3 linked regions of the Callithrix jacchus genome follow. The protein of the gene in region 1 binds, or shares a complex with, the protein of each later gene. Links are inferred from orthologs where the notes say so. Each region holds a gene or a part of one and is shown in the gene's direction. Other genes may lie near its edges.

Region 1 (3,743 bases):
AGAAGCCCAAGGACGCTGCGGGGCTGGAGTGCAAGCCGCGGCCGCTGCATAAGACCTGCTCCCTCTTCATGCGTAACATTGCGCCCAATATCTCCCGGGCTGAGATCATCTCTGTGAGTGGGGAGAAGTGGAGAGCAGAGGGAAGGCAGTGGGGCCCCCGTTTCACCTAATAGGGAGGGCCCCTTCCCCAGGAGCTCATGCCCTCTGAGGGCTCGTCTTGATCATGCCATTGGCTTTCAGATGCTGGTGTTCTGAAGCCCTTCAGTGGTTTTGCCCTGCTCAAGGATGGGAAGAGTGACCAGGCAGTTAGTCTCTAGGGTTCTGAGGACAGTGGGGGATTGGAGGAAGAATCGAATGAATCCTTGAGTCACTAAATAGGGCTGGTTTTCTGCTTCTTGCAGCTTTGTAAAAGGTACCCAGGCTTTATGCGGGTGGCACTCTCAGAGCCCCAGCCAGAGAGGAGGTGAGTAACCAGGTGTGTTGGAGGAAAAAGTGCAGGGGAACGTTGATGGCCAGCACCACCTCCCTCGCTTGACTGCCCTAACATTTTCTTCTGTAGGTTTTTCCGTCGTGGCTGGGTGACCTTTGACCGCAGTGTTAACATTAAAGAGATCTGTTGGAATCTGCAGAACATCCGTGTGAGTATTGCGGGTGGGACTGTCTGGGGAAGAGAGTGGGAGGCTAACCTATCTGTCCTGGTAACTGCCCTAGAGCCTTGCCCAGAGGCAACGTAGGCAATGTAGGCAGACAAAGACAGGACCTACCTGTCAGGTCCCGGTCCTGAGGGAGCTTACAGGTTGATCGATCGCTGGTACTCAAGAGGGGAGGGTCTTAGAGCTGCTACGTCTCCCTGGCAAGTGGGGTTAGTGGAGTAAACTTCTGATGTCTGCCCTCCAGCTCCGGGAGTGCGAGCTGAGCCCCGGTGTGAACAGGGACCTGACCCGACGTGTCCGTAACATCAACGGCATCACCCAGCACAAGCAGATCGTGCGCAATGACATCAAGCTGGCAGCCAAGCTGGTCCACACGCTGGACGACAGGACCCAGCTGTGGGCCTCGGAGCCAGGGACGCCTCCCCCGCCAACGGTCAGTGACTCCCGCAGGACTGTCAGGGGCAGCTGATAGCACCTCCTCTGCTGTGGGTACCTCTAACCTCACCTGTCTGTAGCACCTCCTCCAGCTTCCAGCAGAACTGGGGCATGCTAGTGGTCATTTGTGGGCTGGGGTGGAACAAAGGCAAAAATGAAGACAAATCCCAAGGGGGCAAAAGGCACCAGTTCTGTCTGGTGAACTCCTGTCCCCTCACCACTCTTCACATTCGGAAGGTCTCAGGTTACCTGCCCTGAAGGTCTTTCTCTGCCTTACTTGCCCCTCTTCCTTCCACCAGAGCCTGCCCTCGCAAAACCCGATCTTGAAGAATATCACAGACTACCTGATCGAGGAAGTGAGTGCTGAGGAGGAGGAGCTGCTGGGGAGCAGCGGGGGTGCCCCACCTGAGGAGCCTCCTAAGGAAGGGAACCCGGCAGAGATCAATGTGGAGCGGGATGAGAAGCTGATCAAGGTGCCAGCAGTGGCTGCACAGGGATGTGGGGGTCGGGTGGTAAGGGCAGGAGCAGGAGCTGAGCACCCATACTCAACTCAGGTATTGGACAAGCTTCTCCTCTACCTGCGCATTGTGCATTCCTTGGATTATTACAACACCTGTGAGTACCCCAACGAGGACGAGATGCCCAATCGTTGTGGCATCATCCACGTTCGGGGGCCCATGCCACCCAACCGCATCAGTCATGGGGAAGGTGAGCTCCAGGTTCCCCTTTCTCCCTGGCTGCCTCTTGCCTTGGTCCTCCAGCCCCTCCCACCCTTCCTTCCAGCTCCCTTCCCAACTTTCCTTCCTCTGTTCCCAAACCATAGTGCTGGAGTGGCAGAAGACGTTTGAGGAGAAGCTCACGCCATTGCTCAGTGTGCGGGAGTCGCTTTCAGAGGAAGAGGCCCAGAAGATGGGCCGCAAAGACCCAGAGCAGGAAGTGGAGAAATTCGTTACCTCCAACACGCAGGAACTGGGCAAGGATAAGTGGCTGTGTCCTCTCAGCGGCAAGAAATTCAAGGTCTGGATGTTGGAGAATGGGCGTGCCAGGGTGGTGGGAGGTGGGGCTGAGACAGGAAGCCCCTAAAGGCCTGGGCTGGGGTGGGAGTTGAGGACTGCTCACTAGACTGGCAGGTGGGAGCTGGGAATCCTTTCAGGTCGGGCCTGTGATCGAGGCAAGTGTTATGTGGCTGTTGTGACCCCGCTCCTCTCTCCACTCAGGGTCCTGAGTTTGTGCGCAAGCATATCTTCAACAAGCATGCTGAGAAAATTGAGGAAGTGAAAAAGGAGGTTGCGTTTTTTAACAACTTCCTCACTGATGCCAAGCGCCCAGCTCTGCCTGAGATCAAGCCAGCCCAGCCACCTGGCCCTGCCCAGAGTAAGATACGATCCATGAGGGTCACATGTCCCCCGTCCCTTGACTGTCCAGGGACTCCTGTTTCTCTTACCTGTTGGCCTGAGAAGTTTCTGCCTCATCCTCAGGCCATAGCCCTAAAAGTCAGTTGTTCCCACCCCTCCCCCCCCCGCAGTAATTCACGTCCCTGTCCCTGTTGTACTCCCCCCAGGTTTGACCCCGGGACTCCCCTACCCACACCAGACTCCCCAGGGCCTGATGCCCTACGGTCAGCCCCGGCCTCCGATCTTGGGCTATGGAGGTAAGTAGAGGAGGGAGATGAAGGGGCTTGGTGAGTGTGACATTGGGCGAAAGGGAGAAAGAAACAGAGGATGGAGTTGAGGACATAGTTTTGCAACTCAACGCTGATCTCTGTCATAGCTGGTGCTGTCCGCCCTGCAGTCCCCACAGGAGGCCCTCCATATCCCCACGCCCCGTATGGTGCTGGCCGAGGGAACTACGATGCCTTCCGAGGCCAGGGAGGTTATCCTGGGAAACCTCGCAACAGGTGAGGCGGAGCGCACGCGCCCAGGCTTTGTTGCCCCTGCAAACTCCCTTTTGGGGGCCCTCAGCTCTCATACTTTACCTCTCATCTCACAGGATGGTTCGTGGAGACCCAAGGGCCATTGTGGAATATCGGGACCTGGATGCCCCAGACGACGTTGATTTCTTTTGAACTGTCACTGTTCCTCACTTCCTCACTCCTGTATCATCCTTTACTTGTGACTACCTGGTTCCCTCCAACTCTTGAGAATTTTTTGTACGATCAGCCTTACTGCCAATAAAAGCACTTCCACAGGGCTTCTGACTCATGTATGTTACATGTCGCCCCCATCCTTCGAAAGGAATTCCCGAGGTGTTGCTCAGCCCTGCCACTTTTATTACTGCTGTCAAAAGGCCCAGGCTCTGCGGGGGCACCAGCCCCAGGTACACAGGTGCATGTCTGGGACTGGAGAGTCTCAGTTCTGAACTTCACCCTCAGTCCAGGGGGTGCTGTTGCGGTTCTGAGCTATGGCTGGTCAAGCACAGGTTGTAGAAAGAGTTGGGGTCAAAGGCCTCATTCATCTCTCGCCAGCCCACCCACCCAGCAGCCTGTAGTTCACTGGGGCTTTTTGGAGCGCCCCAGTAGTGAGGGTCTAATACCAGGACATAGGCTTCCGTGCCTGACCCGATGCAGACTCCCAGCAAGGCCTTAGACCTGGCATCCGCGTCGCCCCCAACCATGACTGGGCCCCCGCCCCCTGCGAAATGGGAGTAAAGCCTCTC
Region 2 (3,743 bases), on another chromosome or scaffold:
TGTTTCAGTGGCTCTTGTTTGTAATCCCAGCACTTTGGGAGGCTGAGGCAGGAGGATCAGTTGGGCTCGAGTTTGAGACCAGCCGAGGCAACACAATGAGACTACCCCATCTCTGCTTCCTCATGTGAATGTGGTTTTAAGGAGATGACACAAAAACACACACACAGAATGCTATTAGCAAGTCGCAGCACAGAATAAATACTCATTTCATAAAGTATGTGTTTATTATTACCATAGGCCTACAGTCCCCAGTATTCTTCATCCATCTTGCCTGAGAAGTATCACACTCATGCCTATTAATCAGCTCACACATTTAATCAAAGGATTTTGGCAGCTGTAGGGTGGTCTTTTTATCCATATCGTCCCTGGAATTAAGTGTCCTGCTATACCCGTGCAGATTCAGCAGCATCTGTCAAGAGTTTCAATCCCATTTGCAGAGGAAAGGCTCTGTGGCTTCGGCCGGTGGCTCTCCATAGGTGCTGTGACTGGACCCAGCCCATCTTCACCTCTGTTAGGCTTCGGGGTCTTTCTCCACACTGTGCCTTGTCAAATCACAAGACTTCAACGGAGACGGCGGTCTGGCCTAGGCTCTTCTGAGTGGGATATCCGCAGGCCAAAAATCGGAGTCAGGATTCGAGGCCGTGCGCAGTGCCCGGAATGACCCCTCAACGCCGAGGCCAGAATAGAGCCCAGAAGCGGCCTCAGCCCCGCGCAGCCCAGGCTTAAATGTTTGCGCCCGGGCCCCTCTGGCTACCTGGTGGTGGCCCTGAGCGGCCCCGGAGGCCGCGGCGTAGCTCCTGGGTGAAAGCGTCTTTGAATCGCTCAACGCGGCGGCCCAGGGAGCCCGCGGGCCCAGCCGCGAGGTCCCGCAGGCGGCGGGCCGCGTCTTGGCCCCGCAGCTGGGCCTGGAGCAGTGCGAAGGCTGTGAGCTGCGCCGCACGTCGGATAGGCCACGACTCCGACAGACGATCCACTAGCTGCGGGCTGTGCAGCAAGGCGGCCAGCAGCCGTCGGAGCACCATCCTCTCCCGGCGCCCGAAAACCGCAGCGCGCCGCCCTTACCTTCTGCTCCGCGGGCCCGACCCGACGCCTTTTGTGCTCGCGCAGCTTGATGACGATACTGTCGCCCGGATTGGGTCCAATAAGATGCGCGTCTCCGCCCGTCTCCGCTTCCGCCACGGCAGTCGCCGCCTCGTGTCGGGAGTTGTCGCATCCTCGTCCGCTTCTCTGCGCTATGTCGGGTGGCCTCCTGAAGGCGCTGCGCAGCGACTCCTACGTGGAGCTGAGCCAGTACCGGGACCAGCACTTCCGGGTGAGGGAGGCCCGGCCGCGAGAGGGGAAGGCCCTGGGCCAGAACGCTGAGAAACGGTTTGCTCTTGTCTCGTGTTGCATCCCATTATGCTGGAGTCCCCAAACGCCAAGTGGGGCCTCGGTGCCTGCTGGGGAGGCAGGGAATGGGTGCTGCAAGGGCGTTTGGATATCGATGAAGCCACTTTCTCTGGAAGATTGAGAATTTGAGGCTCGCTTTCCCGTTCCCTAGCAGGCACTCCCGGTACCCCGGCCAGCGCCGAGAGGTTTGAGTGGTAGTAGTAGTGGCTCCCGTTTCCACGGTTTGCCTCGGGAAGGTGACTACGTAACAAGGGGGAGGGGTGTCCTAACTCCCTGAGTCTGTAGAGGCGCCTTCCTGATGCAGACACGGGGCTTTTTACTTTGTTTTTTAAATCAGCGAAGCAGTGCCTTTCCGCGATTCGGGCCCCCTCACTGGGAGGGTGGTCCTACGGAAACTGTACGCGGTGCGTGGGAGACACGAGTGGAGTCCTCACTCCGCCCTCGGGGAACCTTCGGAGTAGGAGGTGGACCCGTCAAGCTGGGCACGTTGAGGGTGTAAAGATGGGAGAGTTGCTGCATTTCAGAAGAGGGAAATTTTTAGTCCCAACTATATCGAATACTGTATCACTATATTTTGTGAAAAAGGGGGAGGCTGCAGATATTCAGAGTAGGCTTTTCAGTATCAACAAAGGCAGGGATGGAATACGGTTGGGGCTAGCGGGACTCTTTAACCCAGTTATTTAGTAAATGTTTATTGAGTGCTGTTGCTAAAGCCTTGTACTAAACCCTAGAGGGAGAGGGAAGACAGATTTTTGCACTCGACGAGCTCATAATTCCCCGTAGTATGGATTATAAATGGAGGGAAGTAATCAGAATCTAAGCAGAAGTGAGTTAAGACAGAAGTAGTGAAGATTCAGAAAAGCGGGGGGAATCCCCATGTGACTGGGAAATGAAGGGCTGTACATAGCAGAGGGTAGGTGTGGAGAATGTGTGAAATGTGTTACTAAAGTAGGGAAAAGGAAATTTTGTTTGACAGCAAATTGGGGAAGCTCTTAAATTTATTCAGCCGAGCATGGTGGCTCACGCCTGTAATCCCAGAACTTGGGGAGTCAGAGGTGGCCAGATCATGACGTCAACAGATCGAGATCATCCTGGCCAACATGATGAAACCCCGTCTCTACTCAAAATACAAAAAATTAGCTGGGCGTGGTGGGGCGCGCCTGTAGTCCCAGCTACTCCGGAGGCTGAAAGGAGAATGCTTGAACCCAGGAGGCGGAGGTTGCAGTGACCTGAGATCGCGCCACTGCACTCCAGCTTGGGCAACACAGCGAGACTCCATCTCAAAAAAAAAAAATTTTTAAGGACGGGCACGACACGGTGGCGCACACGTGTAATCCCAGCACTTTGGGAGGCCAGGACAGGTGGATAACGAGGTCAGGAGTTCAAGACCAGCCCGGCCAAGATGGTGAAACCCCATCTCTACTAAAAATACAAAAATTAGCTGGGCATGGTGGCGGTTGCCTGTAATCCTGGCTACTTGGGAGGCTGGGGCAGGAGAGTCGCTTGGAACCCAGAAGGCGGTTGCAGTGAGTTGAGATCATGCCACTGCACTCCAGCCTGGGTGACAGAATGAGACTATGTCTTAAAATGATTTATTATTATTTATGCATTCCAGCCTGGGCGACAGAGTGAGAGTATGTCTCAAATAAAACAAGACTTATTTATTTTTTGAGACAGAGACTAGCTCTATTGCTTCGGCTGAAGTGCAGTGGCACAATCACGATTCTGCAGCCTCAGCATCCTAAGCCCAAGTGATCCTCCCACCTCAGCCTCTGGAGAAGCTGGGACCACAGGTTCGCACCACTACATATGGCTTTTTGTAGAGACAGGTCTCCCTGCAGTGTTCAGGCTAGTCTCAAACTCGGGGACTCAAGCAATCTACCTGCCTGGGCTTCCCAAAGTGTTGGGATTACAGATATGAACCACTGATCCCGGCTGGTCAGGTTTTTAGATGCTTTAGTGCCAGGCATGATTTGCACTTCTACCACTTTTACAGCTATTACTTCAGACAATTCCACATCCTAACCATTTTTAACTTCAATGTAAAATGAAAACTGAAAACTTTTGACTTTGTCTATTATTCATCTCTTCAGTCTAAAACCTAGAGCTTTATTTAGATAATAATACCATACTGTCATGTGGAATTTCTAGCATTCTGTGAATGGAATCCATATTCATATAGTTAAGTACTTGTACCGTAGTTATCTTAAACTGTAGGCTATTTATTTGGACCTTACTTATGTGTGAGGAAAGTAGAAAAAGAAGATGCCCCATCCATGTTAACAAATCAGTGACAGCAGTAAAATGACAGGAATTTACTTTGTCTAATGTCTCATAGTTCTAGAAACCTCATT
Region 3 (3,742 bases), on another chromosome or scaffold:
CACGATCTGATTCTGGATTTGTGTTGAAAGCAGAGCACGCAGGGTTTACAAATAATTGTTATGTAAAAAGTGAGGGAAAAGAACTAAGACTCCCTAAACTTTTGGATTAAGCAGCCGATCGATGACGTAATTTACTGAAATAAGACTGAAAGAGAATTAGTCCGAGAGAGTGAAATTTCAGATGGCCATGGACAAAGTAGTTAGGTAAGCCAGTATGGTGCTCAGAAAGACATCAGAGGAGGGAATATTCACACACAGGCATATAGGCACCCAATAATCCTTGAAGACAGATGACCAAAAATCATTTGTTCCTTCTTAAGCAAACACTTAGGTAAAATGACGGCAAGCCGGCAAGCCAGGAGCAGCAGGTAGCAGCAAGATCGCGTCAGGACCGGCCTTTCCATCCCAGGGGGCGGCACGTGCGGCACCGCCTCCCGCCCAGGCCCCACCCCGCGTGCACAGCTTGGCCCAACCTCTCCGCCCACTTTTCCCAAGGCGGCAAAAGCCGGAAAGTGGGAGTAGATGAGCACATACCCGCCAGTCCTGATCCTTTCTTAGGTCTCTCTTCCCTGCACCATCTCCACTTAGCAATTGTCACTGCTTACTGCCCTCGAGTCTGGCCCCCGCCGCATGTTTGGGTAGAAAAGCTCGCTCGTGACGTCACCAAGCTCCGGAAGTCTCCTGGACGTCGGCGCAAGGGCCGCCGGGAAAACCATTGAGACGCCCCGAACGACCGGCCTGAACGGAGGCGGGGACTAGAGCGGCCGCCGGCACCACTTGCCTTCAGACGTACGACGACCTTGGCCCGGGGGCTCTGACTGGTCGAAGCGGCGGCACTTTCTGCGTGGCCCCGGAAGGACATAGAGCGGAAGGCGGGAGAAAGAAGCAGCCGGCAGGCGGAGGCAGCCCGAAGGGGGCGGTTGCGTGCGGGCCCGACGCCCGTAGCCCTCTGAGCTTCTGCACGCCGGCTCTTTCGGCTCTGAGCTCACCCAGCGGCCTCTTCTGCGCTTCCGGGAGCCGTGGCGAGCGACTGCGCCTGCGTGCCGGCGCATCCGCGCGCTTCGCAGCTGCCCTCGCGCCGGCCAACGGCCGGGCAGTTCCTGCAGGGCTTACCGCCTGGCCTCTCGGCTCCGCGGCGCACCGTAGGGCGGCATGTCGCGGCGGCGGCACAGCGACGAGAACGACGGTGAGTGCCCGCGGCCCTGCCGCGGAGGCCGCTCCCGGTTGGGAGCCGAGGTTCGGAATCTTTGGGTGTCCAGGGAAGAGAAGGGAACCGCTTTTTCCCGGGAGCGTGCGGGGAGCCGCGGAGGGAAAGAGTGGAATACAGTACCGGTGTGGCCGGAAGGCTTCTGGAAAGCGACTTCTCCCCCGCCCCAGTTCCTTGAGTCATGGGCCGATCCTGGGAAAGGAGGCCTGGTGAACCCCACGGATAGACCCTTGGTCTCTAAGGACGCTTCAGAGCTTGGTCCTTAGCACCACGGAGCAGGGAAGCACACCTGTGTCTGTACTGGTGCCTCTTAGGGACCCACTGACCCCAGTGTCTCGTTTTAACCTTCAAAGCTGCACCTGAAAAGGGCTCGAAAAAATTCACTGAAGGAAAGGACTGAGATCTCATGAATTGCAGTCTGAACTCTGTTCCGGTACTGGTCATCTGTTGATTATCCTTCTTTCAAACTGCGAAGAAGGAATATTGTCTTATTACGCCCAAGAGGTCCCTAATAGACACAGGTTACGGCAGATTTTGAACTGGCCGCACGCACATTTCCCTCGTGTGAGAAAGAGTGCTAGAAAACTAACTCAGGCCTCTGAGAGAGTTAGGGGTTTCTATCTCCATTTGGATGATTGTGCTCGTGGAGGTCAAGGTGTTGCCTTCATAAAAACGGACTAATTCTAGTTTAAACAAAAGATGCTTACATTACACATAAGCCTTACAATCGGTCATAAATACAAATCCACACACACAAAAAGTGAAACTTAGAGTAATTATGTTATTAACATTTTTGTGTGTTAATCTTTGAAGAGAGTGTATAGTAACGTTTAAGAGGTGAGACTTTGGAACCAGAGGGTTTAGGTTCAAAGCCAGACGTTACCGTTTGCTTTGTGATCTTGTCCAGGTTATGTAATCTCCTTAAACTTTAGTAATATAGAAGCAATGATACTTACATTTTCTGGGGTTTGTGAAGGTTAAATGAGACGTCAGCAGTGGCCCACGATGATGATTTATCATTTGCCAATGCTTAAGAGGTGGTAAACATTAGCATATGCTGTCATTGTAGGGGGAAAAAGCGTAACAGACATTTTAAATTTTCTCTACTCTCTGCTTGGGTGTTGCGGCAGTTGAGGTGGAAGCAGAATCTCATGCATTTAGTTTTAATAGGGAAGCACCAGATTTCTATAAAGGCATGGCTTGAAGGGTTATTCTAGTCCAGCCTTATCATCGGACGCCTAAGGATATAGAGACTGAGTATAACTAACACGGAGAGACAGCTGTCAGTTCCAAGACACCAGGAAGAGCAAGTCCATTCCAGGGCTCTCTTCGCTACACAGGTATAAATTAGGCTGCGTGCTTTGATTTCCACCACAAGAGGCTTCTTGTGTAACCTCTGTACAAGGCACAGAAAATACATTTCCCCTTTATTTGTGTGTGTGAGACAGAGTGTCACTGTCAGGCCGGATTGCAGTGGCTCAATCTCGGCTCACTGTAACCTCTGCCTCTCAGGCCTAAGTATCCTCCCACCTCAGCCTCCTGAGTAGCTGGGACCTCAGGTGCAGGCCATCATGCCCGGCCGGTTTTTGTTTTTTTTTTACTTTTGTATTTTTCGTAGAGATGGGGTGTTGCCACGTTGCCCAGGCTGGTCTTCAACTCCTGAGCTCAGGACGATCCACCCACCTTGGCTTCCCAAAGTGCTGGGATTACAGATGTGAGCTACTGCGCCCGACAAAAATACAGTTTTCATTTGCTTTGTTATTAATCAAAAGCGAATATATTTCCCGAGTCATTACTTGGGGGTTGGATAACTTGAATCTTTTGTCCTTTCCATTTTCTTTATTGTTCTTATGCTTTTTCTCCCTTATCGGGAATCCCTAAGGAGAGAGAAAATGTCACTTTCGGGCATCCTAGAGAATTGGAATGCAAATATGTAGAAAAATAACTTTTGCTTTGGTTATTGGGAGACTGACATAACTTTCTTGGAGTTGGCTTTAACACCAGCTGGCAGCCAAGTCACTGTCCATTTGTGTCTTGCTGGACAACCTCAGAGTAAGTAAGACAAAGAAGCAAAAGAAGGCATTCATTAAGCAAAGGTTAATATGGTGGGTATTTTAGTATGGGAGAGGCAGATACAGTTCATACTTCATAATACGGCAAATCTGAAATTTCTGTAAATCGCCACAATTTGGGTAACAGTCAGCTGGAGTTGACCCTACACAGTGATCTGAATCAGATAATTTGGATGCTTTCCTTTTAGCTTCCAAATAATCCAACTAATGAAAATAGTTAAACATCTATTTTCTAAAAAATAAGACATCTTAGAAGCTTAAGTATTATAGAAGGCTATTTTATAATAGGCTAGGAATTATAGTCAGAATTAAATAGATGCATCTGAGCATTTCTGGATAATTGTCAGCTCCTGTCTATCACTGCCCTGACTTTCCATATGCTTGACTCTATATATAGAAAGAGTATATATGTAATATATTATAATAGAATATGTAATATATTTATATTTATATATTACATATA

Evidence for each region.
Region 2: the proteins of SRRT (region 1) and NCBP2 are in contact, whole or in part, in a cryo-EM structure (PDB 8PMP), measured with the Homo sapiens proteins. The link is inferred for Callithrix jacchus from reciprocal best matches to the Homo sapiens genes SRRT and NCBP2. Residues at the interface, in NP_056992.4 of Homo sapiens: Asp857, Arg859, Ala860, Ile861, Val862, Glu863, Tyr864, Arg865, Ala869, Asp874; in NP_031388.2 of Homo sapiens: Ser48, Phe49, Tyr50, Thr51, Thr52, Glu53, Gln55, Lys67, Met71, Leu73, Met76, Lys77, Lys78, Thr79, Ala80, Tyr89, Asp107, Glu121.
Region 3: the proteins of SRRT (region 1) and NCBP1 are in contact, whole or in part, in a cryo-EM structure (PDB 8PMP), measured with the Homo sapiens proteins. The link is inferred for Callithrix jacchus from reciprocal best matches to the Homo sapiens genes SRRT and NCBP1. Residues at the interface, in NP_056992.4 of Homo sapiens: Asp857, Pro858, Arg859, Val862, Glu863, Tyr864, Arg865, Asp866, Leu867, Asp868, Ala869, Asp872, Asp874, Phe875, Phe876; in NP_002477.1 of Homo sapiens: Tyr461, Gln463, Lys511, Lys557, Ser558, Ser560, His561, Ser564, Ala567, Lys568, His570, Lys607, Ile609, Arg610, Thr611, Gln612, Met648, His651, Glu705.

What each region holds. Positions count from the first base shown.
Region 1 is NC_133503.1:12,837,442-12,841,184, reverse strand, and holds the end of SRRT (serrate RNA effector molecule homolog), read left to right. Parts: coding exon 1-113; intron 114-401; coding exon 402-463; intron 464-559; coding exon 560-638; intron 639-897; coding exon 898-1,086; intron 1,087-1,387; coding exon 1,388-1,561; intron 1,562-1,642; coding exon 1,643-1,796; intron 1,797-1,911; coding exon 1,912-2,105; intron 2,106-2,305; coding exon 2,306-2,462; intron 2,463-2,637; coding exon 2,638-2,739; intron 2,740-2,858; coding exon 2,859-2,985; intron 2,986-3,077; coding exon 3,078-3,153; 3' UTR 3,154-3,278; downstream 3,279-3,743. Other genes in the region: UFSP1 (ufm1-specific protease 1), read right to left, coding at 3,456-3,743. UniProt on the Homo sapiens protein: Acts as a mediator between the cap-binding complex (CBC) and the primary microRNAs (miRNAs) processing machinery during cell proliferation.
Region 2 is NC_133516.1:25,207,314-25,211,056, forward strand, and holds the start of NCBP2 (nuclear cap-binding protein subunit 2), read left to right. Parts: upstream 1-1,182; 5' UTR 1,183-1,234; coding exon 1,235-1,312; exon of another isoform or gene 1,313-1,368; intron 1,369-3,743. Other genes in the region: protein NCBP2AS2, read right to left, coding at 723-1,022. UniProt on the Homo sapiens protein: Component of the cap-binding complex (CBC), which binds co-transcriptionally to the 5' cap of pre-mRNAs and is involved in various processes such as pre-mRNA splicing, translation regulation, nonsense-mediated mRNA decay, RNA-mediated gene silencing (RNAi) by microRNAs (miRNAs) and mRNA export.
Region 3 is NC_133502.1:145,761,346-145,765,087, forward strand, and holds the start of NCBP1 (nuclear cap-binding protein subunit 1), read left to right. Parts: upstream 1-874; 5' UTR 875-1,152; coding exon 1,153-1,186; intron 1,187-3,742. UniProt on the Homo sapiens protein: Component of the cap-binding complex (CBC), which binds cotranscriptionally to the 5'-cap of pre-mRNAs and is involved in various processes such as pre-mRNA splicing, translation regulation, nonsense-mediated mRNA decay, RNA-mediated gene silencing (RNAi) by microRNAs (miRNAs) and mRNA export.